Caenorhabditis elegans: one gene and its partners. The protein of the gene in region 3 purifies or fractionates together with the protein of the main gene of each other region. This does not show direct contact. Each region holds a gene or a part of one and is shown on either strand. Other genes may lie near its edges. The genes, in order: Y17G9B.8, rac-2 and T26A5.6.

Evidence for each region.
Region 1: the proteins of T26A5.6 (region 3) and Y17G9B.8 fractionate together in Caenorhabditis elegans (co-fractionation; one large-scale study listed by BioGRID). This does not show direct contact.
Region 2: the proteins of T26A5.6 (region 3) and rac-2 fractionate together in Caenorhabditis elegans (co-fractionation; one large-scale study listed by BioGRID). This does not show direct contact.

What each region holds. Positions count from the first base shown.
Region 1 is NC_003282.8:4,753,393-4,764,039, forward strand, and holds Y17G9B.8 (SGF29 C-terminal domain-containing protein), read right to left. Parts: upstream 5,449-10,647; 5' UTR 5,239-5,448; intron 5,190-5,238; 5' UTR 4,726-5,189; coding exon 4,652-4,725; intron 4,606-4,651; coding exon 4,157-4,605; intron 4,110-4,156; coding exon 3,922-4,109; 3' UTR 3,785-3,921; downstream 1-3,784. Other genes in the region: fbxb-77 (F-box associated domain-containing protein), read right to left, coding at 807-1,018, 1,668-2,383, 2,653-2,744; Y17G9B.11 (PID domain-containing protein), read left to right, coding at 3,213-3,419, 3,470-3,550; memi-1 (MEiosis-to-MItosis transition associated), read right to left, coding at 5,848-6,030, 6,082-6,273, 6,323-6,508, 6,556-7,035; cyp-31A3 (CYtochrome P450 family), read left to right, coding at 7,668-7,760, 7,807-8,207, 8,251-8,347, 8,396-8,490, 8,539-9,253, 9,309-9,395.
Region 2 is NC_003282.8:16,301,937-16,312,583, reverse strand, and holds rac-2 (Ras-related protein rac-2), read right to left. Parts: upstream 4,360-10,647; coding exon 4,255-4,359; intron 3,859-4,254; coding exon 3,767-3,858; intron 3,328-3,766; coding exon 3,142-3,327; intron 2,960-3,141; coding exon 2,755-2,959; downstream 1-2,754. UniProt on the Caenorhabditis elegans protein: During gonad morphogenesis, plays a role in distal tip cell (DTC)-mediated guidance of gonad elongation.
Region 3 is NC_003281.10:6,445,220-6,455,866, forward strand, and holds T26A5.6 (UDENN domain-containing protein), read right to left. Parts: upstream 5,473-10,647; 5' UTR 5,467-5,472; coding exon 5,410-5,466; intron 5,076-5,409; coding exon 4,878-5,075; intron 4,831-4,877; coding exon 4,593-4,830; intron 4,516-4,592; coding exon 4,360-4,515; intron 4,314-4,359; coding exon 3,991-4,313; intron 3,935-3,990; coding exon 3,588-3,934; intron 3,540-3,587; coding exon 3,406-3,539; intron 3,212-3,405; coding exon 3,111-3,211; 3' UTR 2,793-3,110; downstream 1-2,792. Other genes in the region: let-721 (Electron transfer flavoprotein-ubiquinone oxidoreductase, mitochondrial), read right to left, coding at 1-671, 799-1,400, 1,453-1,687; Histone-lysine N-methyltransferase set-1, read right to left, coding at 6,134-6,271, 6,360-6,547, 6,602-6,840, 6,974-7,137; jhdm-1 (JmjC domain-containing histone demethylation protein 1), read left to right, coding at 9,264-9,577, 9,626-9,757, 9,808-10,384, 10,433-10,647.

The DNA of each region.
Region 1 (10,647 bases), on a different chromosome or scaffold from region 3:
ATCAGACTGAGCTCCCGTGGAGAAGCCAGTAGAAGCTGAAAATGACTGAAAAAAAGAGAAACCAATGACGGGGTATTTGAAAGACAACAATATTCAAATGAGAATTGTTGGAAAGACTGATGGTAGTAGGTGGAGATCAGTGTTCTGGAATCGGACTGAGCTCACGTGGAGAAGCCAGTATAAGTTGAAAATGGCTGAAAATGGCTTAAAAAAGAGAAACCAATGACCGGGTATTTGAAAGACAACAATATTCAAATGAGAATTGCTGGAAGGACTGTTGGGAGTAGGTGGAGATCAGTGTTCTGGAATCGGACTGAGGTCCCTTGGAGAAGCCAGCAGAAGCTGAAAATGGCTGAAAATGGCTGAAAATGGCTAAAAATGGCTGAAGATGGCTGAAAAAAAGAGAAACCAAAGATGGGGTATTTGAATGATAACAATATTCAAATGAGAATTGTTGGAAGGACTGTTGGTAGTAGGTGGAGATCAGTGTTCTGTAATCGGACTGAGGTCCCTTGGAGAAGCCAGTAGAAGCTGAAAATGGCTGAAAAAAAGAGAAACCAATGACGGGGTATTTGAAAGACAACAATATTCAAATGAGAATTGTTGGAAGGACTGTTGGTAGTAGGTGGAGATCAGTGTTCTGTAATCGGACTGAGGTCCCTTGGAGAAGCCAGTAGAAGCTGAAAATGGCTGAAAAAAAGAGAAACCAATGACGGGGTATTTGAAAGACAACAATATTCAAATGAGAATTGTTGGAAAGACTGATGGTAGTAGGTGGAGATCAGTGTTCTGGAATCGGACTGAGCTCACGTGGAGAAGCCAGTATAAGCTGAAAATGGCTGAAAATGGCTGAAAATGGCTAAAAATGGCTGAAGATGGCTGAAAAAAAGAGAAACCAAAGATGGGGTATTTGAATGATAACAATATTCAAATGAGAATTGTTGGAAGGACTGTTGAGAGTAGGTGGAGATCAGTGTTCTGGAATCGGACTGAGGTCCCATGGAGAAGCCAGTAGAAGCTGAAAATAACTGAAAATGGTTGAAAAAAGAGAAACCAATGACGGGGTACTTGAAAGACAACAATATTCAAATGAGAATTGTTGAAGGACTGCTGGGAGCAGGTGGAGATCAGTGCCAAAAAAGGAAATGGTCACAAGAAGAAATGAGGTCATAATCCAATTAATTGACAGTATTTATTGTATGTAACTCCTAAAAATCCAGGAATTCCTTCTCATAAATCTCACAATGTCTTCTATTTGTTCATAAAATTTGTTATTTTCAAAAATAAAGCTCTTATTCAGTTTCAAAAATAGAACATTTTATTATTGGCGGCAACGTTATTCGAAAATTATACAAGAGAATTAATTCAGAGGGTGCAGAAAAATAAAACAATTTGAAATGGTGGTAGATGAATCAATCAATCTCCATGCAATGCATAAATGGGATGCATCTATGGTCTCGATTATTAGAAATAAAAGTGGTTTTAAATCCAAAAAAACATTTTAAGAAATACATTTGCACGATCTGCAACAATAATAGTTGCCGTCATCCCATCATTCCTTCTCACATCATAACCACCTATGACACGATAATCACCACATCCCGATAACTTTTTCGGCAAATGAACAATAAATTCTCTATCTGCTGGGGCAACGTGATATGCTATACCTTTAAAAAGTGGTTCGAGAACATCTTCAACGTCCCACCTGAATGCATCTAAATCGAACCATGCAGATTTCAGTTTTCTGTCGGATCTGTGCATCCAGTGCTTCAGAAATATATTGACATCTTCGATTTTCAGAAAAGCGGTGAATGAACGGGCATTTGTAACAAACACATCATTAAGATCACATTTCGTTGATACTACGTTCATGTTTCGTGTTAAAATCATTTGCATTTGTTTAGATGGTTCTATTGAGAATGGGTTTCTATTTAAACAAATTGAATCAGTTTTGCCGGAAAACTGTCTCAATGCATCTTCATCTTGTGAACTATTGTTGTCCGATGTCATGGACATCATGGACAACCACCCAAACTCCATTCCTTTGAGTTCATTAGAACATTCAGGGTCAGCTGTACTAATATGTAAGCTATCAAGTTTTGTTTGATGAAATATTTCCATAAGATGATTCAAAAATTGTCTCACTCCAAAAAATGGGGTTTCCCATCTTTCCCCTCTGAAACCAACATGCACTCTTATGGGCTTCTGTACAGTATGGTGGCTGGGGGTTGAACATTCGAAAGTGTAGAATCGGAAATCTCTACAACCGGAAACGTCAATCAATATTTCATTTGAATTAATTGCGATGATAAAACGTTCGGTTTTTATACCAAGGTGTTTAGTTTGTTGCATTGCAGCTTTAGATGTGAATGATAATTCAACTCTGTAATGAATATTTCATATTGACAAGGAAATGCGATTAGTGAACCATATCCCTGGATCAAGGCTATTTGAGAACGGGATGTTTGAATTTTAATTTTACTAGTCGGAGGAAGTCGAGAGGTAGGCTCGAAAGACACCGGCTTGTTGAGTAATAAAAGTTTCAAAGTAACTATACATTTCATTAAAACTTCTCGAATCACTCAAGCAATTTTTCGAATTACGCTCTTCAGCAAACTACAGAAAAAATTTAATGATGATCTATGTACTCACAATGCTTCTATGCACATTCTGCGCAGCACGACATCAATCGATTTTTGAGGTAATTTGAGCAATGTGAAGGGAATAGGCACATAGTCATCCATGGTCACAAATAAAGAATGAGCAGATGGGAGGATTGAGTGGTAATGTTCAGTGACCTCTTATTTCTCTAACTCTCTACTTACTTGTTATTATACATCTGCTGCAGAGACAAAGATTTCCTTCGTCCGTAACCACTCCCATGTTCCCAGGACCCATTAACATATTCTAACGTCTTCTTATTCTGACAAAAAGAATCTTCTCAAACACTTCACTCTCACGGACGAACGGACAATCATCTTATGGAAATATTTCATCAAAAGAGAATTGATAAGTTATCATTTGATACTGCACAATTCGAAAGTACGATTTGTGATGAATTCGAAGGATTGGAGTTTGAGGATTTGCAGCTAGGCACAGTGTTTGGCTTTAACAGTTTGCTATATGAACATGTGTTGAAACAGTTTTCCGGTAAAACTGATTCAATTTGTACAAGCAGCAAAAACCCGTTCTCAATAGAAGCATCTAAACAAATGCAAATGGTTTTAACACGTAACATGGACATAGTTGTACTACACCAATCATTGAAATATGATCTTAATGATGTACTAAATAGTGACAAATGCTTCCGCATTCGTCGCTTATCTAAGAATCAAAGATGTCAATATATTTTTGAAACACTGGATTCACGGAGTCGACAGGAAACTGGAATCTGCGAATTTCGATTTTACTGCATTCAGGTGAGACGAAGATCTTCTCGAATCACTCTTTGAAGGTATAGAATATCTAGCAGATAGCTATCTCTAGTGCGCTTTCGATGCTGAGGAGACTGTGGATAGAGAATTTTTTGTTCTTTTGCCGTTGGGATTGACGGGATGTGACGAGTATCCTGTCAAAGGTGGTTATGATGTGAGAAGGAATGATGGGATGACGGCTATGTACTATTTATCATTGTAGATCGTGCAGATATATTAATCAAAATGTTTTTCTGGTTTTAAAATCACGTTAATTTTTAATAATCAAGACCACGCATTGGATCACTTTCTAATTTTTTCTGCACTCTCTGAATTATTTCTCTTGTATAATTTTCGAATAATGTTGCCGCCAATAATAACACGTTTTATTTTTGATAAGAACAACTTTTATGGACAAATAAAAAACATTGTGAGATTTATGAGAAGGAATTCCGGGATTTTTAGGAGTTACATACAATAAATACTGTCAATTAATTGGATTATGGCCTCATTTCTTTTTGTGGCCATTTCCCTTTTTTGGAGCAGTTGATGCAGTGAGCCCTGCAACTTCTCGGAAGGCAACCACGTATTTCTGAGCAACCGGCATTGGAGGGCAGAATCCTGATGCATAGCTGTCGTCTTCGAACGCTACTTGATATGGTTCTCGAAAATCTGCTGGCGGGGAGTGAACTATTCCTGGAAAATAATTATTTTATTTTTGAAACTTTTGTGAAAATTGGTACCTTTGTAGAAGCAAGTGGTTTGTGGATACAACGCCAACACAATCGCATTTTTCTCGAAAAGTGCATGCTTGTCTGATGCAGGATTCGCTTTCCATTTTGGGAGGGGTAACAAATGGCTTCTCGCGAAAACTGTCAACTTCTTCTTGTCATCATCAACGTCTCGACACTCATATCGCGAGTTAGAGTGACATGTGACAATATCAGCAAGAATCCAGTTTCCGTCTTTACTGAATGCCGCCACTGAATCTCCGTCGCCTAGTTTCGAGCCATCCTGTGGTGCAATAGCTCCAACATATTCTCCAGGAAATTGTGTGTCATGGCTGGTCCATAATGGAAGAAGGTCGCCGCGAACCTTGATCAGTTCCATTAAATCTCTCCGACTGATGTCTCCGGCCATTTGGGAGCGATAATCCATTTCAGCAACACGTTTTACTTCGTCCAAAAGATTTCTGTAATATTTATTTTAATTTTGAGAGATTAAAGATGAAAACGAACCTAATGAATGATTGTTGTGATTCCACAGATCGATGAGTGCTGGTGACAAAATGTGAAATTCCATCGAAAACCATGGAAACTTCTCAGTAAACCCGTTCAGAATATACCCAGATTTCAACCGAATTTGTGCACAGCATGCAGAAATCGCCGAATTTGTACAGATTGCAAATTTGAACAGATTTTCGAGGCAATTGCCCCGAAAATTTTGTTGAAACTATTCAAAACTTTACTTCAAATTTTAAAAATTTATCTAAAACTTGGTCTTCATTGATTTCTTTTGTTAAGATTTTAATTGATATTTGCAAGAAAACTTTAAAATCGTGGCGAGACCCAGCCGTACAACCACGTGCCCCTTTAAACAGACTACTGTATTTATATTGAATTTTTAATGATTGGATTTCGCAAAAATTAGTTATAAAAATTGTTTAAAAAAACCCACTTTACCCTTTCCATAGGGGTTCGGCTCATTATCTCGGAATTCTTGAAGTTTTTGCAGATTCTCGTTGATAGCGTCTTGCTTCGATTTCACTGTTGGCAGCTGGAAAATTAATTTCAAAACTAGGAATAAATAAATAAATAAAACTCACCTTTTTGATAACCTCTTCGGCGGTTTTCTTCTTCATTTCCTCGGTGATTTGCACATCGTTCTTCTTCCGAGGCATTTTGAAATTATGCTATTTTCCTGAACAAGGAAATGAAGAGGTGCAATAGAGCAGATATATATTTAAACGGGAAGAATCGAGAGAGACCTGATTACGTGATGAGACGGGGAGAGTGCAGACATTACAAGTCGTATGCTGTGAATGAGGCAATGAAAAGGCCAGGTTGTTGCGGTGGGAAAATAACGTATATGGAGTAATTTACCAGTGAAAAGCCGGGAATAGTTGAAATTCATATTCTAATCAATCAATCAGAGCAGTAATGCATTGTAAAATTATACCTCAAACAAATTCATCTTTGAAAAAAAATCAAAATAAATGCGGGCAATATACATGTCGAATATAAACAAAATAGTCGTGGGTTGTCACAATTTGGGCATTGGAGAATCTATATACATAAAACAACTAAAACAAAAAAGGAAAATAAAATAGGGGAAGTTAGTTGGAATATTCAACAGGAACCACTCGGTTATTTAAATACATATACAATAATACAGACTTATGCACATTACTACTAATTATAGGACATATATGGAGTTACTCGTCCTCTTCATCCAGTTCGAATGTTTCGAGAAACGAGATCAGGTCGTCGACTGGCGCAATTCCGTTTTCCAGCGAGATCATATCCTTTTCGACCTCGAATTCGTGGATTTCGACTGGCTCTTCGACAATCAGCACTCGCCGGTTCATGCACTTCACCGTTTGCTCCAATTCGATGTACTGAAAATGTTATAAATTGGAAATCGATAGAATTATTGCTATACAACTCACTCTATTTCTTCGGAAAGGATCCCTGGTGCTCGAGTTGTTCTTGTACACGATCCTCGTTTCCACGTGGCGCTTTCCTCGAATTGAACACGTGATTGATGCAGTCGAAGTCATCAGCCGGCCTTGTGAATCGAGTCCTGGCTCGAGATTTCCGTATTCCCGGCAGTGTGTGGTTCTCAGGAGACGAGTGATAGTCTGAAACATGAAAAGTTATTTGTGTGTAATATAAAACCGATTTACTTACTCTCTTCGTCTGTGATCGGATCAGGGTTGCAACCACAAAGCTATCTGTCATTTGGAACCTTTCGTTTTCCTTCTCTAGTTGTTCGAGCAATGCAAATAACGTTTGGAACGACATTTCATTGGTTGTCTGGATAGCAAATCGAGCCACATTTTGTCCCGTTTCCTTCGGTTCGGTCAGGAGAGAAGTCTGAAATGAGATTTATGCTTTATCAAAAATATGGCCAAGAAACTAACCAGAATCAAACTAGAGATATCCTCGACCGACAGCTTCCGGCACTGAGCGGCAAAATAATGTGGTCGTTGGTTGGGATGAAGAAACACGTGCTCGACAAGCGCTTTCTCCGATTCTCTGGTCGTGTGGAACCATCTTTGCGAGAAATAGTCGTAGCGCTTAAGACGAAGATTTTCAATCGGCACAGTCTGAATGTGCCGGAGCACTTTGACAGCTTCATCGCGGATGATTGTCTTGCTCGGTTTCTTGTCGACGAGCTTTGGAGTCTCATCGATACGATGAACGGAACAGTAGTTCTCATCTTCGACGAGCTCCACATCTTCTCCGTGCCCTTCGATAATTACATCATGATTGATGTTGGGTTGTGGTGGGAGGGAAGAGCAACCGGCTCGAGCGGTTTCCAAGCGATCTTCTTCGGCGTAGTTGGCGACGTATCTGGTCGCCGTCAAATCGCGAAGGACGGTGCGAGATGGAGCTGACATTCTGAAAAACGTTGATTTAAAATTTTATAAAAAATTTGAAGCAAAAATGAAAGAGAAAACTAAAAAAAAAGTAAATGTACTGAAGTGATTGGCAGATTAATAATAATTTATCGATAAAACCATTTTTTAAAAAACTTCATCAGTTTTTGTGAGTGTCAGCAAAGAAGAAGAAGATTCACGATCAAAAATTCGTTGAGCCTATATGAAATAGTTGCGCTGGTTTTTCGACGGGGGGATCAAATACGTCAAATAGGTCAAATAGACGAAGCATTCATAAAAAGTACAATATTCATTGAAAAATAGTTTTGGATTTGTTTTTTTGTTTTCTTCATTTTTTTGTTGAAAAAATAATGGTAATTAAAAGTTTTTAATAATTATTTAAATCAAGATTGAAATATCAGAAAACGACAAAAATTCGTTCGAGAACTTTCTCAAGACTACCGTACTCTTTAAAGACGCATGACGATTTTCACATGGGTCTCACCACGACTTGTCTGAAATTTGAATGTTCGTTCAAAAACTTTTTTTTTTGCGATTTTCAAAACCAAAGCTTAACAAACAATTTTCCTCAAGTTTTCAACGCTTTTTGCTCGTTTTTTTCGCTCAAATAAATTATTTCAGAAGGTTTTGCAATGGGGGTTATCATCCCCGCTGTACTTCTCGCTTCGGCGACGATAATCGCTTGGCTTCTCTACAAACACTTGAGAATGCGTCAAGCTTTGAAGGTTTGATTTCAAAATTCATTTGAAGATAATTTAAATAAATTTTCAGCATCTCAATCAACCACGTTCATATCCAATCGTCGGTCACGGACTGGTCACCAAGCCAGATCCAGAGGGATTCATGAACCAAGTAATTGGAATGGGATATTTATATCCAGATCCACGTATGTGTCTTTTGTGGATTGGTCCGTTCCCTTGCCTGATGCTCTACTCCGCCGATCTCGTGGAACCAATTTTCTCGTCGACGAAACATCTGAACAAAGGTTTCGCATACGTTTTGCTTGAGCCATGGCTTGGAATCAGTATTTTGACAAGCCAGAAGGAACAATGGCGTCCAAAGCGAAAACTCTTGACACCCACCTTCCATTATGATATTCTGAAGGATTTTTTGCCGATTTTCAACGAGCAATCAAAGATTTTGGTTCAGAAAATGTGTTCCCTCGGAGCAGAGTGAGAATTTCAATTTATAACGCTTTCAAATATTCATTTTCAGGGAAGAAGTTGATGTTCTCTCCGTTATAACCTTGTGCACTCTTGATATCATTTGTGAAACTTCCATGGGCAAAGCTATCGGTGCTCAACTCGCGGAGGTTCGAGAAATTCTTCAATCGCAACATTTCTAAACGTTTTTTTTTCAGAATAACGAGTATGTATGGGCGGTGCACACAATCAACAAGCTGATCTCAAAGCGAACAAATAATCCGTTAATGTGGAATTCGTTTATTTACAATTTGTACGATAGTTTTATCATTAAAAAGGTCAATTCAATTTTATTTTTCAGAACAGAAGACGGACGAACGCATGAAAAATGTCTTCGTATTCTACATGATTTCACGAAGAAAGTAATTGTCGAGAGAAAAGAAGCGCTACAGGAGAATGATTATAAGATGGAAGGTCGTCTCGCATTTTTAGATCTTCTTCTCGAAATGGTGAAAAGTGGACAAATGGACGAAACAGATGTTCAGGCAGAAGTTGACACATTCATGTTTGAAGGCCACGATACAACATCTACAGGACTAATGTGGGCAATACATCTTCTGGGAAATCATCCTGAAGTTCAGAGAAAAGTTCAAGCGGAATTGGATGAAGTGATGGGCGATGATGAGGACGTGACTATTGAACATCTCTCCAGAATGAAATATCTCGAATGTGCACTAAAAGAAGCTCTCCGATTGTTCCCATCTGTTCCAATTATTACAAGAGAATTGAGTGATGATCAAGTGATTGGAGGTGTTAATATTCCAAAAGGAGTCACTTTTCTGCTCAACCTGTACCTTGTTCATCGTGATCCTTCGCAATGGAAGGATCCTGATGTATTCGATCCGGATCGTTTCCTTCCTGAAAATTCAATTGCTCGCAAGTCTTTCGCCTTCATTCCATTCTCAGCTGGAAGTCGTAACTGCATTGGCCAACGTTTTGCACTCATGGAGGAGAAGGTCATCATGGCTCATTTGTTGAGAAATTTCAATGTAAAAGCTGTCGAGTTGATGCATGAGGTGAAACATTGAAAATTAAAATTGATAAATTAAATTCTAACTGAAAATTGTTCAGGTTCGTCCGAAAATGGAGATTATCGTTCGCCCAGTCACTCCAATTCACATGAAGCTTACCAGACGCCGTCCAATCGTCTCTCCATAATTTCAAAATAGCCAATTTTATTCTTGATGATTATATATTTTTAATGCATGATAAATTTTAATTTTCATACTTTACCTTGCAAATGTGATGAACAAATTCTTATTTCGGGGAGTGAACTATTCCTGGAACAAAAACGATTTGATTTTTTAAGCTCTATAGGCTCTACACTAAATTCTGTGAATACGTACTGCAAATATATCAAAACTAAATTTTTCTCATTGCAAAAAGTCTGAATTTATTGATTTTTGAATGAAGTTATAGCTAGTAATATTGATTCTCATGGAACAGCTCATATTGACAAATGTGACAAATTTTGATACGGTATTTTTAAAGGCGCAGCAAAAAATTTTCTCTATGGTCCCGCAACGTACACAGTTTCACTAGATTTTGACATGCCGCTTTAAAGGCACGTGGATTTATTTAAATGGGTAACACGGCCCGGCAAGTGGTACATCCATGCAAATGCGCTCTACTGATAATTTGAGTGTAGACCAGGTTTGGGCGCGTGATAACGAAAAAAGCTTTGGTCCAAAAAATTTAGAATTTAGTTTCGGACATTTTTTATATGCATCACAAAAAAACTGGACCAACCGTTTTTGAGATACACGCGCCCAAACGTCCAGGTATACGGTAGACAAATTGCGTACAGGTACCACTTCTCGGGCCGTGGGTAATATGGGAACAAACAATTCTAAGAATGCGTACTGGGCGACATATTTGGCGCGCAAAATATCTTGTAGCGAAAACTACAGTAATTCTTTTAATGACCACTGTAGCTCTTGTGTCGATTTACGGGCCCACTTTCGAAATGAGTTTCTTTTTGAATAGTGATAACAAATTTCTCATTTTCCTTCGTTATTTTGTATTATTTTCTCACGTTTTGCTTAATTTTAATATTCCATAAATGGTTTTAATTCATTCAGAAATTCAGGCCCGTAAATCGACAAAAGAGCTACAGTAGTCATCTATAGAATTACTGTATTTTTCGCTCCGAGATATTTTGCGCGTCAAATATATTGCGTAGTACGCATTCTCAGAAATTAATGTTCCCGTAATACCAAAGTCATACAGGAAAAGTGAATTTTTCGAAATTCAAAATTTGAACCGTTGATATTTTCTTGTTGATGTTTTGCAAACAACACTCCAGCGCTTGAGCATATTGCCATCAAACACCAATGAGAACGAAAAAGGTTGAATCGAACAATTCGAAGAATTTTCTATTTTAAGAGAAAAGATCTCTAACCAGTGCCTT
Region 2 (10,647 bases), on a different chromosome or scaffold from region 3:
AACACGAACGAGATATGTGCTAATTAATAGGTTTATTAAGATAAAATGAGTGGCTCAGGGAACAATGTCCTGCCAAACAAGTACAGAGAAAGAGGGAGAGAGAGAGATAAGGAGACAAAACAAGTCAAAACGAGGAAAAGACCTAGAATGAGGGAATTGTCGTCTTATATAGCAGGTTGCGGTGGAAGGGCGGGACGAGACAAGAATGTTCCGGAAGGAAATGCAAAATGTGGCGCGCGCTGCCGAGAGAGTTCGGTGGAGCGCGCCTGCACGGGTTACGGTAATTATCATTACAAGTCTGGTTCGACGTCGGAGGGTAGCGGCACTTGTGCGACTGGTTGGAACGAGCTGTAGAAGGCGAATCTTGTAAGTCCTGAGACGATGCGTTCCAATACAGACTGCTGACTCTCCGAGTAGTCCTGAAATACACGTATAAGCTGTGTGGGAAAGATGTAGTGAGGGGCAGATCCTTACATTATTCAATGCAAAGCATACGAGAAATACGTCTGTTTGTGGAAATTTTTTGTGGAAATGTTGGCGGAATCTGGAAAGAATGGGAAATTTTAAGTAGGCTGTAAGATTTGATATGAAAATGTTCCCTCTCATTTAATATAGACATTATTTTTGTCATTGTTAAATTTGTTAAATTGTTAAATAAGAGTTTGCTCGAAAGTTGCTAGTAAAAATAGTGAAAATTAGAAAAAAATGTTGTTGAGGAAAAGTTCCGAGCAATTTTTACTGTAAAAAAATTGTACTTTCTCTAAAAATGAGTAGATTTCACTAGAATGAATTGAAAATTAGTGTTCAACTATTCGAGTAAAATTTGAAATATTTTACCATTTTCACCTGTTTTCCAGAAAATTTAATAATCATAAGTTTTTATCAAAAAAGGTACAAATTAAGCCTAGGCCAATTCCAATTTTTATTGAAAATTGCTCTGAAATAGGCGATAACTTTGAAAAAATGTTATCAAATAATTTGAGAAAATATTTATGAAATCTGGCTCATTTTTCGAGAAATTTTTCAGATTTTTCCGCTCGTACTGATCGTAATCTTCCTGTCCAGCTGTGTCCCATAGGCTGAGATTTATTGGCCGTCCGTCGACCATCACATTTGTTGAGTAGGTGTCGAACACCTGCAGAAATATTGAACATTATTTGAATTTATAGTCAAATTTCAGACCGCTTTTAATTTTCTCTGCTCAAAATCAGGCAAAGTATTTTCGGTAAAAATTACCCACTTTTTATTCTAAATTTTTACCCATTTCTACGTTTATGGACAAATGTTGCTTTTTTTGAGAAACAAGTTCAACTTTTTATGTTTTCTTAAATAAAAATGACGATTTTTTTCTGATTTTTGCACGCCATTTTTCTCAAATTGCCCAACAAAAAGTGGCTCACCGTTAGAATATATTCTCCGGGAAAAGCGTTTGTAGTGTACGATAGCAGGAGACACGTCTTACCGACGGCTCCGTCACCAACGACGACACATTTGATTGCTTGCATCTGGAGCTCCGCGAGCAAAAAAACTGAAAATTGGTTCAAGAACAGGAAAAATTTTAATCATGATATTGAAAAATATAGGAGATAACCTTCGGGGGGAAACCTAATGGGGTTATTCAAGTAGTGTCGGAAAATTAAAAAAGTGTAGGAATATTAGGTCACTTTATGTACATGTTTTTTATGTATTTTAATACACAAAGTGACGTAATATTCCTACACCTTTTAATTTTCCGACACTACTTGAATAACCCCATAACTTGTTCCCTCGAAAAACTAAAAAATGAGAAGCAAAACTGGATATAGTAAGAATATTTCATCTTGTCGTGTTTATTAAAGGGATGAAGCAATTACAGAATAGAAGAGTAAATGGGGACAAACAACAGACACGTGGTAAGTATAAGGAAGAAAAGTATAACGAAACAGGAGTATAAGGAAAATATAAGGAATGACCTTGAATGCGCGTTTCATTTAGTTTTATAGGTGAATTGGGCCGGGCCGAAGAACGATCGAGAACTACTGATGAATCCTATGAGGGAGGTAGGGATTCCATGCAGGCGGGATAACGTCTGCCACGCGCGCTTTGCGGTGACCCCCGAGCGGAACCCGAAAAGCGTCGGCCGCAGCTAAAACCACATTTCGCACTGAGTTGTCTGTACACCACGCCTTTGACTTTTCGTCATAGTGCAGAAATTAGGATGACCATCAAATTAAACTATGGCTTCCATGTGAGAGCCGCATGGCGGAGGCGCCTTTGCCGGCCTCACGCCGGCCCGCCGTCGCCTTCGCCCCTCGTCGATGTATGTGCGCAACGAAGTGGTAGTTATATGGAAGCGGCCGACACGTTCGAGGTTTCGCGCCGCACTATACATACGGATACTTGCGGCGTTAGTGGCGACATGAGGCCGGTGGAGGCGCCTGACCGGCGCCCACATGGAAGCCCTAAAAGAATTCACAATCAAAGCTCAAATTACGAGTTCTCGCCAAAAACATGGTGAAACTCCGATTTTAGCTTTGAACACACACGTGGTTCGTTTTTTGGTCTGTTATAGGTGGGTACTAATCATGTGGTAATAACTTTGTGATGATCAGTCCTCAAGGCAAGGGATTATCCTCTCCTTCAATTTTTTTTCCGACCTGAAAATATGAAATTCCAACGACGAAAAGCTTCAGAAGCTTTTATGTATTGAAAATTAGTATGGTAGTTGAAATTGTTGTAGTTTCTGTAATTTGAGTTCTCCAATTTCCTCGCATTTTAAAGCACCGTGCAATTGCTCTTTTTGGCTCTCGTTTGTGGTGTTTGTGGCGGGGTGAGCCCAGTACGAATTGCCTCATCGAAAACTTGTTTCAATCCAATTTGGGTAAGCGCCGAGCATTCCAGGTACTTGACCGCCTTGATTTCCTTTGCCATCACGTAACCCTGGGTGTGGCTCACTGGTTGGAGCCGACGTTCACGGAGCCTGCAAAAATTTTATTTTTCAAGAGTTTTTGGGGGTATTACATTGGAGTTGCTGTCTTTTTTGGCCGAAAAGGTAAAAACATGGGGAGATATGCAAAAGTTTCACACCCAATTTCTTGCCATATCTCTCTCAAACATGATAAAAAAGTTGTTTCGATGCTAAAATGAATCCCAAAAAATTACCGTTCAATAGTATCTCGATCCTCGCGTAAATCAGCTTTAGTTCCAACCAAAATAATCGGTGTATTTGGGCAATGATGTGATACTTCTGGATACCATTTTGCACGAACATTCTCAAAACTTGCTGGATTATTCAGTGCAAAGCATACGAGGAATACGTCTGTTTGTGGAAATGACAGGTGGCGGAATCTGAAGAAAAATGGGGAAATTTAAGTGGGCTGTAAATTTACATTCACATGTAAATACAATAAACATTCATTAGATAGATTAGATATAGTTTAAGATTTTTTTCATTCCCTACGAAATTTGATATGAAATGTTACTTTTTGATAGACATTCTTTTTGTCATTATAAAATAGAATCCGCTTGAAAATTGCTAGAAAAATTGTAAAAAGTAGAAAAAAAAGTTGTGGAGGAAATATTTTTAGCAATTTTCACAATAACAAAATTGTACTTTTAGCAGACAATAGGTCGGTTAAAAATTTTAGAAGTTTCAGAATGTTTCGCTCTAAAATAGAAAATTGCTCTAAAATAGGCGAAAACTTTGAAAAAATTTACTATCAACTATTTTGAGAAAATGAAATTTGGCTCATTTTTTGACGCATTTTTCAGATTTTTCCGCACGTACTGATCGTAATCGTCCTGTCCAGCTGTGTCCCATAGGCTGAGATTTATTGGCCTTCCGTCGACCATCACATTTGTTGAGTAGGTGTCGAATACCTGCATAAATATTGGGCTTAATTCGAGATTATAAGGAAAAAGCCCAATTTCAGACCGTTCTCCAATTTTATCTGGTTAAAATCAGGCAAAAAAAGGTAAGAACTTTTCATATTTTCATCATGTAAATTAGCACTTTAATCGTGTTTTCGGTCAAAATTTTCCACTTTCAGAGGGTTCATTCAAAAAATGTTTTCATTTTTACGTTTACGGACAGAAGTTGCCTTTTTTTGAAAAACGAATTCAACTTTTCATGGTTTTTTAAATAAAAAAGTATAGATAGATTTTTTTTCAAATTTTTTTTCAAATTTTTGCGCTAAAAAATAAGATTTTTTGAAAAAAAAATTTTCAAGTGCCAACCCGAATTTTTCTCAAGTGCCCCGACAAAAAGTGGCTCACCGTTAGAATATATTCTCCGGGAAAAGCGTTTGTAGTGTACGATAGCAGGAGACACGTCTTACCGACGGCTCCGTCACCAACGACGACACATTTGATTGCTTGCATCTGGAGCTCCGCGAGCAAAAAAACTGAAAATTGGTTCAAGAACAGGACAAATTTTAATCATGATATTGAAAAACATTGGAGAAAACCTGATAGGAGGGGGAAATCTAACTAACGTTTTCCCTCGGAAAACTTTAAAAAATAAGAAGCAAAACTGGATCTAGTGAGATTATTTCATCTTGTCATGTTGATCAGAGGAATTAAGTAATTACAGAATAGATGAGTAACAGACACGTGGTAAGTATAAGGAAGACAAAAATAACGAAATAAGAGTATAGGGAAAATATAAGGAATGACCTTGAATGCGCGTTTCATTTAGTTTTATAGGTGAATTGGGCCGGGCCGAAGAACGATCGAGAACTACTGATGAATCCTATGAGGAAGGTAGGGATTCCATGCAGGCGGGATAACGTCTGCCACGCGCGCTTTGCGGTGACCCCCGAGCGGAACCCGAAAAGCGTCGGCCGCAGCTAAAACCACATTTCGCACTGAGTTGTCTGTACACCACGCCTTTGACTTTTCGTCATAGTGCAGAAATTAGGATGACAATTGAGTTCCAACCGCTGCGACACTGAAAAGTTGTCAATAGGGCTGTTAAACAGGACGTCCTCATCGTCCTCCCAATTTTTATACCAAAGTCCTCGGACTTAACACATTAATTTTGATAACGAAAATAGATTATTTGGGTTAATATTATCTGGATTCGAGTTTGAGGCTGAATTTTCCTGTTAAACGGACGCCAAAATAAGCCATCAAAAAATGACAAGGACGACCTAGGACGTCCTAAATAACAGCCCTAGTTGTGAAAATTTGAGATTTCAGCAAAATATAGCCGATTTTTCCAAAATTTTTGAGTGATCATAACTGTTTTTTTTAGCAATCTAATTACGAAAATTTGTAGTATTGTGCCATTTTTAAATTTTCCTCATTTAAATTTTTTTTTTAACGTGTGGAGTTTTTGTATCTTTAGGCTCAGGAAATAACCATTTCTAAGCCTAAAGAGGGGTAATGGACATCACGTTTTATTAAAATGGATACATTTCAAAAAAAGGGAATAGGGCTTCCATGTGAGAGCGGCGCGGCGGAGGCGCCGTCGCCCTTCGCCGGTGTGTGTGCGCAACGAAGTGCGAAAGGTAGTTATTTGGAAGCGGCCGATACCTTCCGAGTTCCGCAGCTCGGCGTGTGTAGCTTGGCGAGTGAGCAACGTAGTGCGAAACACAAGTACCCATTTCGGTACTCCACCTTTACTTGTCATTGGTCAAGAATGTTACAGAAACAAAATTTTCGCTCTTGCCGTAAATAACATTCACCTGTCAGTAACTTTATTTCACACTAATTCCTAATCTATAATATAAATTTGGCAGTACATTGCTTTAAAAGAAGTACCAATGAACGACACTATTGTAAAAATTACTGAAACAATATATTATTCTTTCAAGATATTTTTTATTGCTTCGGTGATTGTTTTTTCGGCATTATTCCCAGTTTATGTGTACGTGTTCAAAATGAATCGAAAACTCGATAAAGCGGTATTCAACACGTGCATTGCATTAAACATAACTTTCTCATTCAGATGATACTGTTTCCAGCTGTTAATCATCTTTATCAAATGTCCAGAAACGTCTATTTCCTATACCTAGCGTTCCTGTTTTTCTTGTGCTTTAGTTGTCTTAATATGTGAGATAAAAAATTCTTGATCCAGAACAATAACTTTTTTTAAAAGAAATTCTCCTAACTACTTTAACATCTCCTATTTAACACTTCCTATTGTAATATATGTGCTCTACATAATAACACAGGTTTTCTCCCTGTTGACGTTTCTCCTGTCTCTCCAACGATTTATATTATATTTCAAGCCCTCAAGTGAACAGTATTTAACCAAAATACCATTTTCAAAGAGATTTATCTTTTTTTAAATTTAATTGTGGCTATCCTTTGAAAACAAAATAAATGTATTAGTAATAACTACAAACTGAATATCACCTGCTTAAATGTTACGACGTTAGAAAACGGTGCTTTGAATCAATGCAAAAACAATGTTTAAAGTAGTATTTATTCAAAACATTCGGTTTGGTGCTACAATTGTATTCATCGAGTGTAAACTGATCCCCGAAACATTTTCGCTAGACTGTCTCAGTTTAAAAAACTTCCCGAAACCTCCCAGGATAAATTCTCGGTAAGGTTTCTGTACAATGAGCATAACAATTGTTGATATGAAACCATGTGTTGCAACTATAATATACATAGTATTATTCAATGCCGCATTGAAAAATGGTGTATATGAGAAATAGGCCATTGGAATGGAGATAATGGAAAAGGGAATTGCCAATTGCAAAAACATCGCCTTCATCAGCTTTTTTTGTAGTTCCAAGGTTTGTTTCGAACGGACTTTGCCATATTTTTTAAGAGCACGGTAGATTTGAAAAAAGAGTGCCAAGCAGGTAACATAAAGTAGTATTGCTTCTCCTACAGTCCCCATCAGATATTGCAATTTGTTTTCCACGGCAAGGTAGAGAGGGAGAGCGCGAACTTCATCTGATAGGCAGGGTAGGGCTGGCCAAGTGTCGTCAATAAACAAAAATTTTCATTTATTTCTGTAGTCGAAAAATGAATCTCACACGTGATTCAAAAAATTAGAAAGTCATTTCTTGACACTTCGTGGTGTCGCTTTTCGACACTGAATACGTGGATAAAAATGAATGAAAATTATAATTGTTAATCAAAGTATTTTATTAAATTTTTCAACTGCCACATCATTGTTTTCTGTGCTCATTTGAAAAAACGTGAACTGGGAAATAAAATCAAAAATAAAAACAATAAATCAACGTTTCGAGTGTCTAAACTCGACGGTGTCGGTTTTCGACACGTCAAATATTGACAAAAACAAAAGTGTCGAAGAGTGACCCCCGTCACGTGAATATTTTTTAAGTTGTCGTATTTTTTGACATTTGGCCAGCCCTAAGGCAGGGAAGAGACTGAAAATTGATAATTTAATTTCTATGATTAACAAGGCTATTATCTGGAACCACCTCTATGATAAAATCTTTTTTGTACTCTATTCCTGGTGGCATTGTAGCATAAACTGGATAGAAGGTGGCAATAGCAGTAAAATAGTAAAATGCAAAGAATGGCGAACGTGCATATTCCCATTTTGTTGGATTGATTAACAAAATGGAAAGTCGGTTTTCTAGTACAACAATGACTGCGCATCCGTCGCTGAAAACTCCATTGATAATTTATTTAAAGGTGGAGTATAGAAATTGGAGATTTTTCATAACTGCTCAAAAGTTTGGAGAAAAAATGATCGAATTTTAGTTGCAATCTCAAAATTTTGTAACTTGGCAGTGGCAATACGCGAAAATACGTTTTTATTGTATTGTCATACTTTAATACGAATATGATCTAATTTTGTGCACTCATCGACAAAAATTTACCTAAATCAATGACAAAACCAAAGTACCGTAATATGTATCAAAAAGTGCTTATTAAATAAAAATCAAGTTTCTACCGCTGCGCCACTGAAAAGTTGTCGAAGCTTGAGATTTTACCTAAAGAAGGTCATTTTTTTTCCAAAACTTCAGGTCATAACTTTTTTGAGAAATTTTCAGAACGTCTCGTTACGAAATTTGGTAGTTGTGGCCCACACAGCGCATTTTTTACTACAAAAGCTGGAACAGAGTATTTGATTGTGATTTTTTTCTTCAGTTTTTTCAATGAGACTTGTCTGAATTTTCACTGAAACATTCGAACAAACTCAAAAATTAATTTAAACTGTTTGAAATGTTCATAAATCTTCTCTAAATTTTTTTTTTCAAAAATTTTGAAAATTCAATAAAAATCAAAATTTTTTTCCAAAATCAGATTTTTTCGCGTTTTTTGTCTGAACTTTCACTAATTGTAACTAATTTGCTTTTTTTCACTGATGATTTCTCAATTTTTAAGTCTGTTCGGATGTTTTAGTGAAAATTCAGACAGAAAACACGACAAAATCTGATTTTGGAAAAAATTTAGATTTTCATTGATTTTACAAGATTTTTGAAAGAAAAATTTTAGAGAAGATTTATGAACATTTCAAACAGTTTAAATTAATTTTTGAGTTTGTTCGGATGTTTCAGTGAAAATTCAGACAAGTCTCATTGAAAAAACTGAAGAAAAATCACAATCAAATACTCTGTTCCAGCTTTTGTAGTAAAAGATGCGCTGTGGCCCATTTTTGGTCTTAAAAAACAAAGTCTCTAATTTCGCTACTCTACATGTAACTAGATTTGAATTATTTTTCTCGAACTAACTAAAAACCGCCGCCACTGTTATCCAAATGTACTCTGCAACTTCTATATCAAGAATGCCTATTCGATATACACCCACTAACGGAACCAAGTAGCCAAGTGTGCAGAAATAGGAGAGCATTAAATCAAAAACAAAGGAGGTTAACTGCAAGTTGAATAGGCTCCACCTCATGGAACTCATTACTTTAGGAGTTTGAAACAAAATACAGTAACATCCAAATAAGTTGACTGGAATTGAAATGAATCCAAAAAGATGAAGAGTTGATATGAAAAAACTCGGAGAGTCGAAATAAGTATTTTGATAGGTAGCTGAGCAGTAAGTATTCATTTCCAGTTTTGGTGATACAAAATGCGGAATTATTCCCTGATTTGTTTTCGGCGCTGTTGTATCTTACAATTTAGCAATTCCAATTATTTTCTCACCTGCGCAAAGATAGCAGATCCAAACTGTGAGACGCAGTAGTTCAGAAAAACTTTGCAAAAACGAATTCTGGATATTAAATGATCAAAATCTTACTTGTCACGGAATAGCTGGAAAATGAGTCTTGAATCGCATTGGTTCAATCAGGTTTATTTTTAAAAACTAACAGAAAGAAAGCATCATAATTTTAATCAAATTTGGATAACAGAGCTTCGAATAACAAATTTGCTTTGAAACTCAAAACTTTATTGGGATCAGACAAATCAAGTTTTGAAGATATGAAAACGGTCACAAACAACAGATTATAGAAGGCTCTATGCAAGGTTTCTGGCGTTGAAAAGATGTGCTTGTGCTTTACTTTGCCTCTTCGAATTCAAGCTCGTTGTCGTTCATCCATTCTAAAATTTCGAACTTCATTCAAAGTAGCTTCATAGATTCAATACCTACCAATTGAGTGTTCGGCGACACTCGAAAAGATATTTAAGAAGAAAATAAGTCATGAATTTTAATAGAAATAATGCAGCATCTTTGGATGGCCATCGCTATGTTCCAGCAGACCTTGGCACGTTTCCAGAATTTCTCACTACGAGTTGTTGGAATAGGGATGGATGGCTTCTCGTCAGAGATAATAATGTAGGTAATGTGGGATGGAATACTCGACATAACTGAGATACTGAGAACAAAGAGCAGATACTGCTCTAGAGAAGCAAGATGCTTATATACTACTTATGAACGAGTAATAATCTGAGGAAGGCAGTTCCGATCAATGATTCTTTAATCATATGCTTAATGACACATCATTTTAATCGGTAAGTGAACTCTTGTCCTCTTAAAATGTTCAGGTTCATCAGTGAATTTTTTTATCATATGATACACGGCATGGATTTTTGAACAAAAATTCAAAAAAAGATGTTCCAAAATTTGAGAACATTGGCGTTTTTCTCAAAAACGAGAACCGCAAGGGGGTCTAAAAGTACAGTAGAATGAAAGATCTAGGTTTGGTGAACAAACCAGTAAAGTTTCAGAAAAAAAATTCGAGGAAATTTTAAGATATTTAGGTCGAAAGATTTTCATTTTATCAATATTTCATCGTTGTTTTTCTTAGATGGAGAACACATTTTTTAGATTAATTTTTTTATAAGTTTGCAGGATCGATAGTCAATTTGTGGTTTTCTAAAACAAAGTTTTGAAAAAATTGAGTTAAAGCTGGAAAAGAGCTGAAAGAAAACATAGACAAACGGGGGTAGTTTCAAAATTGAAGCCTCTCACGTGAAATTAAAATAAATTTTGGAACATCTTTTCTTGAATTTTTGTTCAAAAATCCATGCGGTGGATAGTTTGTCCCATTATACTGAACCACCTGTACGTCTATATTAGAACTATCTTCCTCATTCTAACATGTCTCTAACTGAAAACACGCGCTTCTTTCGTGTGTGTGGGCGCATATCTTTCATATCACCTCTTGGCGCGCACCGAAAATGTATTATGGAGGTCAGACTAGCTAGCGGAGTTGTGTGAACACTTATTGCCATAAAAATATATGTATCTTTTAGATGAACCGACCTAAAGCACATGAATGTTAAT
Region 3 (10,647 bases):
AGAGATACAGATGTAAGAAGATCAAAAGTTAGCTTTCCATCTGGTTTTGGGTAATCGATTTCTTTTGCATCCTTCACTGGAATGAGCTTCTCATTATCCTTCTTTCCGTGTCCAAGAGTCCATGGTTCAATTCCTCGACCGAAAACATAGAATATTCCAGAATAGATCAGTCCTCCAATGTATCCCAATGAAGTATTGAATGATGGACGAATATTTCTGGTTGCTTTGAGCTCTTTAACAACATAAGTATCACGAATATTCTTGTCATATGTAGCTGGATCAATCGTTTGCACATCCTCTCCCTTTTGTTGAATATCCTCGAAAATTGATTCAGCAGCCACCATTCCACTTTTCATTGCATTATGAGTTCCCTTCAGTTTAGCGACATTCAAGAAACCAGCTGAGCATCCAACAAGACATCCTCCGGGGAAATGAAGCTTCGGGATACTTTGGAATCCTCCTTCATTGAGAGCTCGTGCTCCGTACCCAATTCGTTTTCCTCCTTCCAATTGTTTAGAAATCGATGGATGAGTTTTGTATTTTTGGAATTCTTTGTATGGATTGAGATTTGGATTCGCGTAATCAAGAGCAACAACGAAACCAACGGAAACAAGTGGTTGTCCTTGATCCTCGATATGGTACAAGAAGGATCCTCCGTATTGATCAACATTCTGAAAAATCATTTTTTAGAGATTAAATTCTAGAATATATCTTTTAATCTGAAACACTCAAAAAAAAAGCTCACATTTTACTAGATTTTTCAATTTTTCTTAATTTTTTAGATCTTCAGAAACTTACCAATGGCCATCCCATAGTATGCTCAACATAACCAGGTCTATGCTTTGCTGGATCAATTTCCCAAAGTTCTTTGAGTCCAATTCCATAAGTCATTGCATGTGTTCTCAAATCAAATTTATCGAGAACTTGCTTGCTCAAATGTCCTCTACATCCTTCAGCGAAAATTGTGCATTTCGCGTGGAATTCCATACCACGAGCAAATCCATCTTTCGGTGCTCCATCCTTTCCAATTCCAACGTCACTTGTGGCAATTCCCTTCACACTTCCATCTTCATTGTAGAGCACTTCAGATGCAGCGATTTCTGGCCAAACTTCGACTCCAGCTGCTTCAGCCTGCTCGCCGAGCCATTGAACGACCTTTCCAAGACGAACAATATAGTTTCCGTGATTTGCAAGTGGAACTCCAGGTAGCACTGGAACTGGAATTCGACCAGATTCAGTGAGAATAGCGATAGATTCAGAGGTAACTTGTTGGTAAACTGGAGCTCCCAGCTCTTTCCAATTTGGAATAAGTTCATCAAGAGCTCGAGTTTCAATTACAGCTCCTGAGAGAGTGTGCCCTCCAATAACAGATGCCTTTTCGACAACACAGACACGAAGTTCTGAAATTAAAAAAAATATGTTTACTCTAAAATGTATTTGTTTAGATTTTACCTTTCTGAGCTTTTTCAGCCAATTGTCTCAATCGAATGGCTGCTGATAAACCAGATGGACCTCCTCCAACAATGACAACATCATAAACATCACTTTCTCGTGCCAAATCAACATCCTTCCACCGTGGATCAGTGGATCGATCCTTTACAGTATAGTGAGTAGTCGTCCATTGTCCGTTGACGACGTTGCGAAGTTGTGATGAGACGCGGAATAATGTGACTCCACTTATCCGCATTCTGAAGTCACAGAAATTGAGAAATGAGAAAGAAATCGATAATTGAAGAAATAATTGTTGCATTTTAATTTTAAAAAATTACGTGAATTTTCAATGAAAAATGTATTTGCTTTTTTCGCAAAATATATGCATTCTGGTTACTGTTAAATACAAAAAGGTGTGCGTCTTTAAAGAATACTATAATTTCAAATTTTCTGTGGAATTTTACTCTATTTTTCATAGATTTTCGAAAATAATAATAATAATTAATAATTAATAAATAAGCTTATTTACAGAAGACTCAAATATATCCGTTGATATAAATACTTAAATTTTAGTAATTCTGGAAAAAAAACAATGATAAACCGGTAGAATTTATGTAGCAACCTATTTATGTTTGAAACTACAGTACTCATTAAAGACGCACGCCTTTTCTCATTTAGCAAAATTTTGTCGCGTCGAGACCGGTGACTGTATCTTTGGGCGCATAAAATTGAAAAAAGAAACAACTAAAAATATATTTAGACACGATGGGAAAAAACAAATCGATTGACCAACTGCAGACAAAACAAACAAGTCAACAACCAGCCAAGCCAGCCACAATAAATGGGTGATTTACTATCAAAGATACATTTTTCGAATTATTTTTGGGGTCACAAAATTGTAGTTCTAAATATTTTAGCTAAAATTTATAACTTTCTTCTACGTATTCCTCAAATGAAAACAAAATACATAATTGTTGTGATTTTCGGAAAAGAAAAGCAAAAAATCAGGGTAAAGTGTATCTTTGCGTACGTGTAGAGGAAAGGAGAGATAAGAGGAGTAGACAAAAGGGCAAAGTACAACGAACATGTGTCTCCCACGAGGGACAAAAAGAGGAGAGACTACAAATCTGAACGTCTACAGTGCAAAGGTAGCTTAGTGACGTCACAGGAAAACAAAGTTTGTAGGGGGTTCCTGGGAAGTTTGAAAAGTTTGTTGAATTTTAACATTATCAATTGTAAATTGTGCTTTTAAAATGTGAATAAGAAAACTGGAAAAAATATTATCCGAGTTTTTGAAAAAAAAGTTTTCTCTTCAACTAAATATTAAACGTTATTTGTTTGCCTCTTCAACTTGTCTACGTATTTAAAATCAAAACATTAATGGTCACAGATCATAAATCACAATTCTATCATTAGAAGAAAGTAATATATAAAAGGATGTTCATCTTCACCCGTATATTAAACCAATTTTTGAGTTTAAACAAATGCATAGTTATATTGATTACATGAAAAACAAACTGATTAGACTTACATAAACCGGATGAAAACGATTCGATCATTAAGAGATCAAATTGAATGGAACACAAACAAAACAAAGGAAATATGACAGAAATTCTAATTACAATAAAAAACTTTAAAAGATGATAAAATGCCCATTATACATATTTGACTTTAATAAATCACTCAGATGGCTCCTCTGCCTCTTCAACACCTTCTTGTGCGGTTGCTTTTCGATTCCACCAGTTTGAGAATTTTGCTTTGACTCGACTACCGGTTTCTCCTGAAAACACGATCGAGTTAATCACTTTAGTATTAAAAATATTTTTTTCGTTTTGGCAAAATGTCAGTTTTGTAAATTTTGAACATTTTGAATAATTCAAAGCAATGAAAGCTATGCCCTCAATTTTTTACTGCTACTTCATTTCTCGAAATTTTTTAGATGCTATATTAATTTCCAAACCCGAAAAAAATTACCAATGGTATTTCCTAAATTCTTTCCGGCAGTATTTACAGTTCCAATAACTTTTGAAGCTCCTTCAACTCCATTTACGGCATGTTCAAAACGAAGATACACGTCATAGACTCCCATTTGTTCCGAGAACATGTGCCTGAAATATTCAGATTGAAAAATGTATTCATGTTCTGAAATTCCTCACCCTGGCGCAACAGATGTTAAATCTTCATGTTTGTTTGCAACCCAAATTTTGTGATTTTTAGTTCTCCGCCATTCGTTTACAAAAGCGATTCCAAAATGAGGTATCGCTGCTTGTAGATCGGAACGTGACGTGGCAACGAGGCCAAGAAGATAGTTTTTCATTTGTAAACGAATCCATTCATCTGATCCATCGAATTCAGCATTTGAGGATTTAACCTGTTCTTCGACTTTTTTGAGAATAAAATCAGCGAATCGAAGATCTGCAGTAGTTAGAGAAACTACTCGTTCCAATGCTGTGTCGTTGACAAATTCAATGTGATTATGGACAAGAGAACCGTCGTCTTCGATCTGAAATTACTCAAGTTTAGTTAGAAACCTGAAAATTGTTAATTTAAAATACAAACCTTCACAATAACATCAAATAAATCCTTTTTCATCGCAAATAAGGCATTCGTAGCTCCAAATATACAACTCTGAGTCTTCGGGACTAAATCCATTGATTGAATTGATAGATATGGATCAAATGATGATCCTTGTGTGAATAAGCTTATAGGAAATCCACACGAATCCTTTTCTTTCAATGGATCATCATGTGAAAGCTGAACACCAACCTCCTCTTCTATCACTATTTCTTCGCTTTTTCCTTCAGTTTTTGAATTTACATTTTTGAAATGACAACTCGTATTGACCCCGATTGTTGCGTAGAACAGACCTTCTTCCAAAAGCTCTGAAATTCAAAATTAAACGATTTTAAAATGTCTGTATATTCTTACTTGGAAACATTGAAACAATAGCCAGCATAGTTTCTCCTAATCGTAATCCAGTTGGTGCAATGAATAAAACTTTCCGCTCTAATAGGAATAATTTAAAAAGCAGTAGAGCTCGGTGACGGAATCGTATAAAAAGCTCTTGAATTGATATTTCTGAAACTGATATCGCTAATTAAAATGTGAACATTTGAAACTATTTTCATGTTTTATTTTAGTAAATTGATTCAATAACGTACCATGATGAGCTAGATTTGAAAAGTATTCTCCAGTAAGATTTTCGTCGAATATATCGCAAAGATTCGTATACATTTGAGCAAGAACATCAACTTTCGAAAAATCTTTTTGTTCAAAATATGCCTGAGTTATTACTTCCAATTTTGCTTTTAATGGACCAAAAAGTGGTATTCTTGAAAGAACGCATACAGCTTTTTGAACACTGGTCCTAGTCACATCTTCCGATTTATTTATTAATTCCTGCAAAGTCAAACAGTTTTTATCTGAAGAGTCATATAAAATCTCACTTTTGCATCGATTTGTCTGTAACACGAGATGCCAAATATCGATTTTCCAGGTTCTTCTCTAGATGGAAGCAAAAAGAATATTGTATCTTTTTGACAATTATGTACACCATCCGGCAACGCCAGTGATGGAAGAAGATGCCATTCATCGGGTAATCCCGATTCGCCCGTGCCATCGAGTTTCGGGTGCGAGTATTCTACCTACAAGATTTATTTTATTGATTTTTTACAAATTGAGTTGATGAACTTGAATTTAAATCTTCACTCCATATAATACAAAACTTAATAATTAAATGTATATGAAAAATACTGCAAAAATAGTAAAAAGTACCAAAAACGTTCTGCTTTTTGTGAAATGTTCGATTGACTGTAACATTTATTTCAAATTAACTGCAAAATATACGCGATTTTGTAGTTTATATTGCCATTTTATTACTTTCCTGCACATTTATGACCTTAATCGTTACGTTTTCGAGTTTATTCTTTTATGTATCATATTTTCCTGATTTTTCTGATAGTTTGCCATTTTTGTTACCTCACATCCTCGCTTGTGATGGAAACTAACGACGACCACATTCAGAATTGGATGCATCTTTCTCTGAACTGTAAGCTCTAATGTTTTCCCGAATTTTACCATCTTCAGATAAATTCTTATGGTTGCTATACCGGAAAACGGAATATACTCGTAAAAAAAGATTAATGTAGCAAAATTTATGGATTTTAATTGTTTTCAAAATGAAAAATTGAGATTTGCACGCTGATAATGTTTTCCGATAGGGATGGAAACGATTTTAGCGTTAACCAGTCATTAAAGTAGGTTTCCAACTCGCACCTCATGTACACCACAAAAATGAATAATTCAGGAAAAAATGGGCGATCAACGAGAAATTTACAGAAGAATTAAAGATATTAAAGGCATTTCGTAGTGGAACAAGTGAGGAGATTTTCAGGTTTCAATGAAAGGAAAGAACAAGGGACTTTTCAAAAGTCAACAGGAAAGGTACAGAATTGGATACTCACGAGATCCAGATTATCATAAATGAGCACGTTATTACGGCTCGTTATTGAGATTTGTTTCAGGTTTGATTCGCTGTGAGAATGAGAAAAGGCGGTTGAAAGAGACGAAGTAATGAGAGGATTGGGCACGAGTGCCGTGGAAAATATGAGAAAATGAAGGGAATTACAGTAGTATACTCGTGAAGGTAAATGAACATTTGAAATGGATTGAGCAGATCGAAGAGATGTTGTGGAGCAACATATTATGTGTTCACAAGCCATGGATTCTTGGCAATCGTCTCTGCTGAACGATCTCCATAATCGTAGAGAAGCTCTTCTCCTTGTGCGATTTGACGCCTGGCGACGAGAATCAGGTGATGCGACCCATCGATTTCCACCACCTGGAATGTTTAGTTTTGGAATTGTTATTTACATTTTTTTAATTTATCAAAGACTTTCTTAATAAATTTCAAATTTTGAAATGCTCACTTTCGTTTTGAGATTCGGCCTTAACACGGAATGATTGATGAGTCGTCCTTTCCATGGAGATTCTTTTGTCGCATCGATACACCATTTTTTATTGTTGTGCTCAAAAAAGTACATGTAGGATCCGATTTCCTCATCATTCGAATATTGTTCTTCTATCACTTTTGCTTCCGAGTACTCCATCATAACACCTAGAATACTTTTTAAAAACAATATTACAACAATTATCTGTGTTATCTACATACCTCTGTATTCGACAACAAAGTCTCCTTTTTCAAAGTTAACTTTCGTTCGAATTCCTCGCCCCTTCACAACATCTTTGTACACTTCAAGAAGTCGTTCATTAGTCCCCTTGAGTACGGTATCGCGAAGAGCATGTTTAGCTTCATCGCTAATTTGCTTGCTCGTCTTCCGATTACTTCGCCGCACTTGGAAGAATTCTGTGATTTTATGGTTTGAGACATCTTTCACCGACACTCCTTTTCTGAAAGAAAAACTATTTGGAAATTGAAGTTTTCAGCTTGGACAATTTCTGTGAATATGTTGTGAATTCAATTAGAAATATTGAAGTTTTTAAACGTTCTATTACAATCCCTCTTGTCACTAATCAATCATACCTGCTCCTTGTGTTTTTCGACGGTGTCATTCTTCCTGAAGATGAAGAGTGTGAAGCCAAAGACGATGGATTTTCGGAGTTCTCAATATCACTAGATGGTGACGCTGCTGCGGCACGATCCTTTCGCATTCTACTCGTTGCCAGCTTCTTCGCGGCAACTTTCATCCTTCGAGTGACACCGCTGAAAAAATAATAAATTTTGTAGGGTGAGGAGAATAGTAAAAATAGAGAAATTTATAAAGAAGCAAAAGAGGTGTCATAGAAATAATAGAAATATTCGCCCACAATTTATTTTTTTTGTTTTGAAATGGTTGGGTAAAAATATTATAATGTGTTGTTTCAAAAACCCAGATATTCAATATGATTTCATCGGTCCTGAATACTGTAATTGAAAATGGAAAAGCCATCTTGGATGTACCTGAAAAAGTAGTTGGGAAGAGGGTAACAGAGGAAATTGAAGCGGGCAGAGAGATGCGTAAAGCAGATTGAATGGGTTTTCGGAGGAATATTTTTTTTAGAAAGTGAAGGTTTCTATTGTGAAAAGGGTGGGCTTTCACCGATTCCGTTGAATTTCCAAATATCAAAAGACCGAGTAGAACATCATCATTAAGATATTTATCCACATTTCGTGAATAACCTCATTAGAAATCAAATTCAGTGGTTTTTGACGAGAGCTGAGCACAAAGAACAATGTCGTGCACACGCGACTAAATTCAAATGGTGTGCAGTCATATGGTTTTGGCGGGAAGTGCCGTGGAGCGTTATTGCACTCACGGTAGATGTCGGTGGTTGGTGTAAAAAATGGTGGATTGAAATTATGGAATTGAACTTTAAAATGTATATTTCCGTAATAATAGATACACTTATTGGGCTCGTAAAATTAAACAGAAAAGATACTCAAAGATTAAAATTTAGATAAATTTTGACGCCATGCGCATGACTAATGTTTCTATTTATATTTTAAATATTATACCAACTGGAATTTTAAATTTAGATGTCCTATTGATCTATTAATTTTGACTGAATTGAAAAAAAACAACTATGAGAAACAGAGCAACAAATCGATGGCAACATCGTGCACAAGAGTGTCATCGCATAAAAAATGCAGTTTGTCATTCTTCAATGCGACTACATGAGAGCCCGACGAAGAAGATATGCTGAAAAAAAGAACATCGAATCGGTGTCGAGAATCTGAATGACATAAGAAGATGCAGCCGCTGGTTTATTGATGCTGGCAGCTAATCGATTATGAATGGGTAATTAGAAAACGATCGGTATATTCTATTCCATTCCCTTCCTATTTATGCTGCGGTCGATAAAACGCTAAATCGATAAAAAGTTTAGTCGTTGTAAGATTGAGCAGCAAACAAAGAATGGTGCCGTCCACCCGTTCGTTTTCGACTGTTTTGTCAATTCAGCGGTCTACGTCACAACGCCACATAATTGTAGGCCAGAAAGGATGTCAGGGGAAATCGATACGAATTATCAGGAATAAGGAAGAAATATTGACCTTGAAAACCCAGAATTGTATTTTAATGGAATAAATAGTAAAAAAGAGGAAGAAATAGTGAAATCAGGGAGTGAAAAGAAAGGAGGCTGGTTATACGATCAAACAACAAACAGGAATGCACTATGGGGTGAGGGTGAGGAGAGTCGCAGAGAGAGAAACGGCTTGCGTCGAACACGCCAGTGGTCCAGCTTGCGCCTTTTCCGTTCCTTGCCCATAGTTTCTATTTCGATTTTTGCACGCTTTTTGCTTTAATGTTTTGAATGTGTATTTCTCTCTTATTGCTTTTAAGAAGCATTTAAAAGCAAAAATAATCAAATTTTAACTTTTTTCATCGTAGTGCGGAAAATTATGTTCAAAATTTGTCAATTTATTTAAAGATAATTCCTTACTCGGTCTTATTAACGCTTCAATCAAAACAATTAGAAACAGTTTTCAAAAATAAGATGAAAAAAGTCCAAAAAATTAAATAAATAAGAACCGACAAATCGATCGATTTTTTAAAATCACTGTGTTCCGTTTGAGACCCTTCGAAAATTCCATGTACCTTTAATTCAAGCAGTTCACGAAACTTTTTTTGGGTACTTAATTTACATTTTCTTTTATTAAAAGCCATTAGAATCTCGAAAGTTAATCTAATTAATCGCTTGAAAATGTCCTGAGAAAAACTCCGTTCTCTGCGTTCAAGTCTTTAATTGATTTACCGTAGTTACGCCAACTTTATGACAGTTTTGTATCATAACTAACCATTTTCCTATGATTCTAATAAAATATATTATTTTAGATGCCGCCGAAACGGAAATCAAATGGAAAAACGCCAGCGAACGGTAAAAAGGGCGCAAAGAAGGCTAGGAAAGAGTCAAGTTCAGAGCACGAACATAGTGCTTCAGAAGGTGAAGAAACTACTGGATTCGATAAGTCGTCACTTCAACGATGTGTGAATTTTGATTTCGAAGCTCTGATGAATGATCCGTCTTTCCAACATCCCGAATTTGTACATACAATGGACCCAGAAGCTTTAAATTTGGAGTTCTACGACAAAAATGGACTTGACAACCCGATACATTTCCGATGTGATCCAAAAAGAATAGGAATGACGTGAGTATTGATTTTTCCAATTAATTGTAAAAATAAATATTTTTACAGACTTCCCTCACCAGATTTCTCAGTGGATGATGTCCTCGAACTGGTAGGCGGAAATCGAATGATAGAAGTTGTTCAAGTCCAGAATCAAGGAAGTGTGAAAATGTCGTTACAGGAATTTATAAACTTCTACAAGTGAGTAATTACAAATTAGTATTAAACACCAATCAAACTTCATTTTCCAGAACGCCACAAGAAAAACGAGAAGTACTGTACAATGTTCTATCTCTAGAATTTTCCCAAACTCCCTTAGAAGATCTCGTAAAATCTCCAGAACTTGTTCGTCAAATCGACTGGGTTGGAAACCAGTGGCCAGATGCTCTGCGCCAGAGGTGGATCTCATTCAACGGAAGAGACAAAAAATTCTACAATCCGCATCATACTTTTCCAAAAGTTCAAAACTACTGCCTGATGAGCGTAGCGAACTGTTATACAGATTTTCACATTGATTTTAGTGGAACATCTGTGTGGTATCATGTACTGAAAGGTCGTAAAGTCTTTTGGTTGATTCCACCAACCGAAACCAACTTTTTTATTTATCAAGAATTTATTAAAACTGTCAACGATAATGCGTTCTTTGGAAAGTCGGTCGAAAAGTGCCACGTGGCTATCTTGGAGCCAGGAGACACGATGCTAATTCCAAGTGGATGGATTCATGCCGTATATACTCCAGATGATAGTCTCGTTTTTGGAGGCAATTTTCTTCACTCACAATCATGCAAAACACAATTAAGAGTTTATCAAGTTGAAAATAAGTTGAATGTGAGTTTTTACAGAAGACTTGTAAATAACAAATTTGAAACATTTCAGATCACTAGAAAATTTCGCTTACCGTACAATGAAGAACTTATTTTCTACGTTATAGCTGATTATGTAAAACAATGGACAGGAAGAGAATATGTGAGACCACTTCGAATCGAAGATGCAAAATATGACTATGTTGGAGACAAATGGAAAACCGCTGGTGGCCATCATAAGAAAATCGAATACTCAGATTACGAAACTGGAGTTGAATTGACAAACGA